Linked DNA regions of Oryctolagus cuniculus. The protein of the gene in region 1 purifies or fractionates together with the protein of each later gene. This does not show direct contact. Links are inferred from orthologs where the notes say so. Each region holds a gene or a part of one and is shown in the gene's direction. Other genes may lie near its edges.

Region 1 (4,358 bases):
TTAATAGATACAGGGCCAGGTCTCTAATAGGAGTTCCACAAATGTTAGCTATCTGGAAATTATCTGTATTCCTCATTTAGGCTGTCAGTTGTATGAAGGCAGGAATCTATCTGTGACGTAGCTCTCAATTCACGTATAATAATAAGTGATTATTGAGCAGGAGGCCTGGGACCAAGCTCAGGACCTGTCCCCACGGTTCTAAAATGTCTGGATGGTGCTTCAGATTTTTAAAAAAGATGTATTTATTTATCTGAAAGGGAGAGAGAGAGGGAGATCTTCCATCTGTTGGTCCACTCCCCAAATGGCCACAATAGCCAGGGCAGGGCCAGGCTGAAGCTTCTTCCGGGTGGCAGGGACACAAGCACTTTGGCCATCCTCTGCTGCTTTCTCAGGCACGTTAGCAAGGAACTGGATGGGAAGTGGAGCAGCCTGCGCCTGCACTTCAGATCTTAAAAGTCTGTATGACCTTTTTTTTTTTTTAATATAAAGATTTTATTTTTTGCACTTGAAAGGCAAGGGAGAGAGAGAGAGACTTCCACATGCTGGTGCACTCCCCAAATGGCCACCACAGCTGGAGCTGGGCCAGGCTGAAGCCAGGAGCCAGGAGCTTCTTCCAGGTCTCCCACGTGGGTGGCAAGAGCCCAAGCCTTTGGGGGCCATCCTCTGCTGCTTTCCCAGGCCCATCAGCAGGGAGCTGGATCAGAAGAGGAGTCTCCAGGACTGGAACAGATGCCATGCTGGCGTGGCAGGCGGCCGGCTTTACTCACTACGCCACAACGCTGGCCTCAGTCTGTATAGCTTGTAACATTCATGCAGCATATGTTTGCTGAAGCCCTCTTGTGTGCCACACACTTCCAGACGTGGGGTGGGGGCAGGGTGAAGGACCATGGGCCAGGGCAGAGGCATTGGAGCACTGGAGCCAGAGAGGCCCGTCACTTACAAAGCATGCACCTGTGTGCAAGCCACTTATCTGCGCTGCAGTTTGGGTCTACGCACCCCAAAGGCCTGTGACGACGACTAAGAGTAGTGTACCCATTCATTGAAAGTGCTTAGACTTCCTCCTCCTATACCCACCCACCTGCCCCGCCGCCTACCGGGAGGGAAGGAGACACACGTGTAGGTAACTACTCCAGGCCCTAATTTAGACCACGCTGAGGGTCCCTAGGCACTAGGAGGTAATACGAATTCACAGCCGGGAATCCTGAAGCATCCGCAGGAGTGCCCTTTGAGGAGTAGGCAGGAATGGAGCCTACGGAAATGCCAGCTAGCGGGAACGAGAGGATTCTGAAGTGGAACGGAGGTCTGGTTCCGAAAGGCTTTCAAGGCGGGGGTAAGACGAACGGTTCTCGGGGCAAGACGATGGGTACTCGTGTACCCCGGGGCCGCCCTGGCGCGGCCGCGCCTCCCCGCGTGGAGGAGGTCTCAGGTGCTTCAGGAGCCGGTGCCCCGCTGGCCACGGGAGGGCAGCAGCGGCCCGGTCTGACCCCACCCCGAGCGCCTCGCAACTTTCCCGACGCCGGTACGCCCCCAGGGGCCGGCAGCGGGGAGCAGGCTGAGTCCTCGGGGGGTCTCGCCGCCCACTCCTCTGCAGTCCCAGCATGTGCCAGCGGCTCTCCCCGCTCCCCAGGCCCCAGCAACGGCGACCCACGGCGGCCGAGCGCTGGAGCCGGAGGCGGGCCGAGCCAAGGGCCGCCCCCGGGCCGACCCTCTCTCGCCGGCCCGCCCCTCTCCTCCCCTCCGCGGCGCCGAAGGAGGGCGGGGCAGGGGCCCTGGGGTCAGTCTCAGCCTCCGGCACCGGCCGCGCGAGCTGGAGGCGGCGGAGCGGAAGGTACCCTGGGCCGGGGCCGGGGCGGCGGGGCGTCTTGGGGACTCGCCCCGGGAGAGCACTCTCTCCCTTCTCCGCTCGCCCGGAGCTTGGGGCGCGGCCGGCGGGGGGCTCCGGCCGGAGCGTGGGCCTTGTTGCTTCCCCTCGGACGCGGCGTCCGGGCTGTGCGGGGTCTGGCCGGATCGGCCCGGGCTGCGGCGAGGGGCGCGCGGAATTGCCAGACAGGGGCTCTCGCCTCCTGGGGTCAGAGCCGGAGTCCCTGCCTTTCCCTTCGCGCCCCTTTCCTCGTGTGGACCTGCCCCGCCGGGCCAGGGCCGAGAGGGGCGACTTGGAAGCTCCGTGAGGCGCTCTGGCTCCGGGCCCGGGCAGCCGGCCGCGCACCTACGGACCTGGAGGCGGGCGAGGGGCGGGCAGGTCGGGAACTGACCCCGGTGGGGGTGCTGCCTCCCCTGGCCGGGATGGGGGAATGGCGGGAATAGGGGCAGGGTGTGACCAGTGGGGGACGCCGCCCTGGACGGTTGCTGTAGCCTGCCCGTGGAGGGAAGTGGGGGGAGATCGGGATGGCTCGGGTGCGCGTGTCTAAGAAATCTCTTCTCCCTCACACTCCCGAACCCGCATCTCGCCCGTGTTTCTGCTTTAAAAGTTGGGGGCGGGGTATCTCCCGAAGACTTACTACTTCCTAGACGTCGGGGGAGGTGGACTGGGTCCGCCGGGCCCCGCGATTGGGCTTGGAAATCAAGGGAATGGCTGAGGAGCGCGGCCCTGCGCCTCCCCCCGGATTCCAGGCTGCATTGCAGGCCTGGAGTGGTGGTGGTTGGGTTACCCCTGTTGGGGTCAGTGGGGCAGTTCTTCTGGGGCTGCCTCCCACAGGGAGCTGGCGCTGGGCCTTGTGGCCTGGCCTGGGCTGCTGGCTCTCCTGCCCCAACCAGAGCCTGGGTAGAGAGTCTTCTCATTGAGAGGTGGGCTCCACTTGGTGCATGCGTGTCCCTGCCCCAGAGTTGCGGCTTCTGTCCGCCGCACCGTGTAGCAGCGGATCGCTGGGATTCCCCGCGGTGGTTGCCTGCCAGGCCTGCCTGGGTGCTTCTCTTTCAGGATGTCAGGGAGAGCCCCTTCTGTGGTGGGGAGAGTGTGGCCGTGTACTCCTGTCCTCTTCCCCCACATCCCAGCTTTGTGAGTGTGTGTGTGTGTGTGTGTGTGTGTGTGTGTGTGTCTGGGTCTGGGAGGGAGGCGCCACCAGGGTCCCCCACCAGGCAGGCTGGGGCTGAGGTGCGAGGTGGGGATGGTATGTGGGCCACAGAGGAGCTTAGCTTAGTTTGACAGGATGTGGGACTGAGGGAAACAGCCTGGTTTAGGGCAGAGATCAGGTTACCCGCCCCTTCTTAACTGCTCCCTGCCCGGCTGGTGCTGGGCCCCGCCGGCCCTCATTTGTCTCTTGTCTTGGGGCTCCTCCCAGCCCAGGCTCCAATCCCCTCCCCCTCCCCCTTTCCCTACAGCCTTGACTTCGTCTCCGCTCCGGAGCCCGCCCTCTCTTCCTCCCAGGCAGTGGGCCTGGGAACTTGAGCTGGCTGGAAGTCGGCTTTCTGGCCAGGAAGGAGGAAGTGAGGGGAGCTGGGAAGGTGTGATGAGCTGTGCAGATGCGTGTTCATGTGTGTTGGGGCGAGGGACACACACAAACCCTGGGAAGCTGACTGCTGGCCCTGAGTCACAGGGAGGGGTGGGCAGGGCCTTCCTTGAGCTGCGCGGACGCAGACGGAGGGAGGAAGGGGCTGTCCGGAGAGTGGGTGGAGGTGACTCCCTGGTGGATTATTCTCACACACTTACTCTGCTGCAGTGGATGTGTGGCTCCCTACAGTGTGGTCATTGTCCCCTGCCAGGGCTGAGTGACCCAGTGTTGCTGCCAGGCCTGGGAGGAAGGGGGAGGAAGGCAGACTGCCCAGATGCGGGCTGTGGGCTGCCGGGACTGAGCCTCCTTTGTGCAGCAAGCGCAGGGCTTGGGGACTGGGTGTGGTGGGCCAGGGCCGCTGGCGCTGGCTGCTGCCACTGCCCCCCGGCTGGGTTTCCTTGCATCTGCTGTCCTTTCTGAAGCTCTGGAGTAATGTGTCCAAATGGCAGACCCGGGTCCCGGAGACTCTGTGTATGGGACTGAACTTTATGGAGGCTTCATTTCCCAGTTTGTCAGGTGGGAAGCCACCTGCAGGTGTCTGGGGGCCGTGGAGGCTAATTGTCAGAATACCCGCACAGGACCCAGCATCTCCGGGTGCTACAGATCTTGCCCTTCCCCTGGGGTGGGGTGGGGGCTACCACCTGGCAGCTGCTGCTGCTGTGGGGTCTTGGAGAAGACCTCTTGGTCCTGAGTGGGCAGGGCTGACCTGAGCTGAGGAACAGACTGTTCTAGATTGGAACTTGATGACGACTCAACTTCAAAGGTATCGTAACTGAGGAAGCCCGATTGAAAAACCCTGGCATATAAAGTAAACAGAAGTGGCTCTTCTTGGCGGGTCTCTGAGCACCTCCCTATGGGTCAGGGGTCCCC
Region 2 (3,436 bases), on another chromosome or scaffold:
CCAGCATCCCAGCACAGTACCCACGTCACCAAGGAACTCAGGCATTTCATAGCAATCCACAACCTCCTTTTATTTTTTTCAGTGTGGGAACTTTAATCTGGGCCTAATTTTCTTCAGCTCTTTCTAAGACTAAAATATACATGACTTCATCGTCACTAGAATTCCTAGATAAAAAGATCAGCCAGGGATGACTTGAAGTGCATGAATTCGAATGTTTGAGAAACTCAGCTGTAGACTGTTTGTTAATATTTTGTTCATGCCAGAACTCTTAGAAATTAGCTTTAAAAACCATGAGACAAGCCTGAGCAGTGTATGTGGTGTGTGAAAAAGGTTTTGTTTTTCCCTTAAGAGCTCTGTTTTCTAACAGAATATTTCCAAATAAGTAAAACATTGACAACAACTCCATAAAAAGAAAACTGGTGAAAAGAACATCTTATTATATGATTAAGATTATGTCCCATCTAAACATATATATGAATATATCTGTATGACAGTAGTTCAGAAAGTTCATGGAAAATGGAACTGACAGTTTACTTTGCTACAAAAGATTTTTGAAACCCTTGCATTTGAAGGTTCTTCAACCAGTTCATGAAAATGCATAATGTGAAAAAACTATGCATGGATTTCAAAAGAGTTTTTGCACCAAAATACTTTTAATTCCATTTTCTTTGAACTTTTTGAAGTACCCCTCTTATACACTAGTCTAAGACTGTTTTATTAAAGAATAAATATTGAAAACATTCTCATTAAGATACATAGTGGTACTGGACCATCAGAGAAGTTTAACAATATAGTTAAGTCAATAGTAGAAGAAAAAGAAAATCAATTAGAAGCTGTTGGTTTGAAGAGGACTACATATGCTTGTCATAGTCTAAAGGTAAATTACAAATATGGGAAATGTTATGTAATTGATTAGGCACAGGAAAAGAGAATTCCTTTGACTTTGAAGCCAGGAGCACTGTCTTTAGTAGCTTTGGAGTAACAGCATTAGAAACAGAAGAAAAGATAATTTTAACAGACAATCACATTATTTGCATGGTCATAGTACTAAGAATATTGGAAGCATACTCAAGTTATGAAAACAACTGGATATACTCTATATGTATACACACATACATTATATACATTCATTATTTAATTTTTTAAAAATTCTTCATTAGTATTTTATATTTGACTGTTTTAGAAAGATTGGAATGGGTTCTACAACAGAGTTTAGAATAAAAATTGTATTCTCAGCCAAAAATTTTGGGTTGCATTAATGATTCCATAATCAGTTAGTTTTCTCGTTGAGACCCAGGAGACAACATAACAATACCAGTGTTACTTACCATTAAGAAAAGCAGCTAAGAAGTACTGGATCCCATTTGCGGTCATTATTAACTGTTTGGCAACAATAAATAACATTAAAGGACTTCAAAGAAAAGTTAAAAGTGCAACATTCCCTACTCCTGCTGAGTCTGCGATTAGTTTTGTGTCTTGGGTGTTCTGCCCTAAAATATTTTGCTTTCTTGTTTTTACTGTTGTTTAGTTAATAAAAATCATAGGAGATAATCATAGATGTTAAACTGAAATAAGAGCTACAGGAATAAACAAAGTTGAAGAGTACTGACATTTTAATATAGAAATGATTAACAGACATGTTCAGCCGCTAAAGATAAATAGGAGCTCACGAAAATCTGTCAAGTCATGGTTGACTCAGCTTTAAATCCTCCATGAAATTCTTAGAATACTCAACTCCTCAAAACCTTTTTTCCAGTTTACTAAAGCAGTGAAGCACTTTGGGGAAGAGGCTGGCAAAATACAGCCAGATGAGTTCTTCGGCATTTTCGATCAGTTTCTTCAAGCCGTGTCGGAAGCCAAGCAGGACAACGAAAACATGCGGAGGAGGAAGGAGGAGGAAGAGCGCCGGGCTTGCATGGAGGCTCAGGTAAGAGTTCCATGAGCTGGGGATTTTTCGCTTTTTGCTTTTCACTAGTTTGGGTTTTTCTTGCTGTTTGTCTTTTGTAAAGCAGAGAGAGAAACCAAGGTAACACAAAGAGGAAGTCTCCATTACTGGTTCACTCCTCAGGGCCCTGGACAGCTGGTCTGCGCTGAGGCTAAAGCAAGGAGACTCATCTAGGTCTCTTCTGTGGTGGCGGGGACCCAACTAGTTGAGCCATCACCACACCCTTCTAAGGTGTGCATTAACAGAAAGCAGGAACTGGGGCCAGAGCCGGGACTCAAACCCAGACACTGTGGCTCAGGACTCGGGCACCCTAAGTGGTGATTTAACTGCTGTGCCAAACGCCTGCTCGCCGTGGGTTTTTGTCTCACTCTCATTCATGGCCTGGCAAGAAGGAAGTCACTGCGGTACTTTCTAGAATGCTGCTGGGAACTTATATTGCTGTCAAGTATCTTTTAGATGATTTGATAGTAAATATCCAAAAGCCTTAAAAAATATATCCATGTCTTTTGATCTGGAATTCCCATTTCTTGGAAATCATTCTGAAGAAATAATCAAAATTTACGAAAAAGGGGGCAGCGTTCTGCCCTCATGTTGGAGATGATCTGAAAGTCATGATTTGTTCTGGATGATGGAACAGCTACATAATGGAATATTTATGCAGTCCTTCAAAGACTGTTTAATGATTCAGTAAAGCTTCCACAGATAGAATCTATTGTTTTTATTTCTAAAGATTTATTTAGTTATTTGAAAGGCAGAGTTACAGAGAGGAAGAGAGAGATCTTCCTTCTGCTGGTTCACTCCTCTAATGGCCATGACAGCCAAGGCTATGCCAGGCCAACGCCAGGAGTCAGGCGCCCAAGTACTCGAGCCATCTTGTGCTGCTTTCCTAGGTGTATTGGCAGGGAGCTGAATCAGAAGTGGAGTGGCTGGGACACAGATCAGCACCCCACATATGAAATCTTTTTGTTTGTAAAATAGGTGTTAATATAGAAAATGTAGTGGTGGGCGAAACCCCCAAGAGGTTCCCAGTGATTGAGCTCTTGGTGGCTGAATTAAAGGTGCATTTCTCTCATTTTGTTTATCTGGATCACCTACATTTTGCCTCACACGTGCACATTATTTGGGTTTTAAGAACAGAAACTCCTGTGCTGCAGGTCTCAGGCATCCACTGTAGATGCAGACTAAGGTTTTGAGGTAAGGAGAGTGTACTGGCGGCCATGTGCTCCAGTATCTCCGTACCATGAAGAAATCAGTATTCCAGGTCTATTTAGTAGTGGCAACTTTTTTTCCATGTAGAAACACAGATCGCCTCAGTTTTTCTTCTTGTACCAAGAATATCCTTCTCGATGGTAAGAGTCAAAGCCCAGAGCCATGCGTGGTAGCTTTCTTTCATTTGTTCTGTAGTAGGACTTCAGGTCCCCACGGCCCCGTGCTTTTAAGAGGCAACAGCTCTCAAGAGCTTAGCTTTCTGTGACAGAACTTTCCAGAATC

What was found. The genes of interacting proteins can lie anywhere in the genome.
Region 2: the proteins of RHOC (region 1) and DAAM1 purify together in Homo sapiens (affinity purification with mass spectrometry; 3 studies listed by BioGRID and IntAct, counting the BioPlex papers as one, with this or other methods). This does not show direct contact. The link is inferred for Oryctolagus cuniculus from reciprocal best matches to the Homo sapiens genes RHOC and DAAM1.

The regions. Positions count from the first base shown.
Region 1 is NC_091438.1:57,617,969-57,622,326, forward strand, and holds the start of RHOC (rho-related GTP-binding protein RhoC), read left to right. Parts: upstream 1-1,501; 5' UTR 1,502-1,828; intron 1,829-4,112; exon of another isoform or gene 4,113-4,251; intron 4,252-4,358. UniProt on the Homo sapiens protein: Regulates a signal transduction pathway linking plasma membrane receptors to the assembly of focal adhesions and actin stress fibers.
Region 2 is NC_091433.1:99,046,909-99,050,344, forward strand, and holds part of DAAM1 (disheveled-associated activator of morphogenesis 1), read left to right. Parts: intron 1-1,756; coding exon 1,757-1,927; intron 1,928-3,436. UniProt on the Homo sapiens protein: Binds to disheveled (Dvl) and Rho, and mediates Wnt-induced Dvl-Rho complex formation. May play a role as a scaffolding protein to recruit Rho-GDP and Rho-GEF, thereby enhancing Rho-GTP formation. Can direct nucleation and elongation of new actin filaments.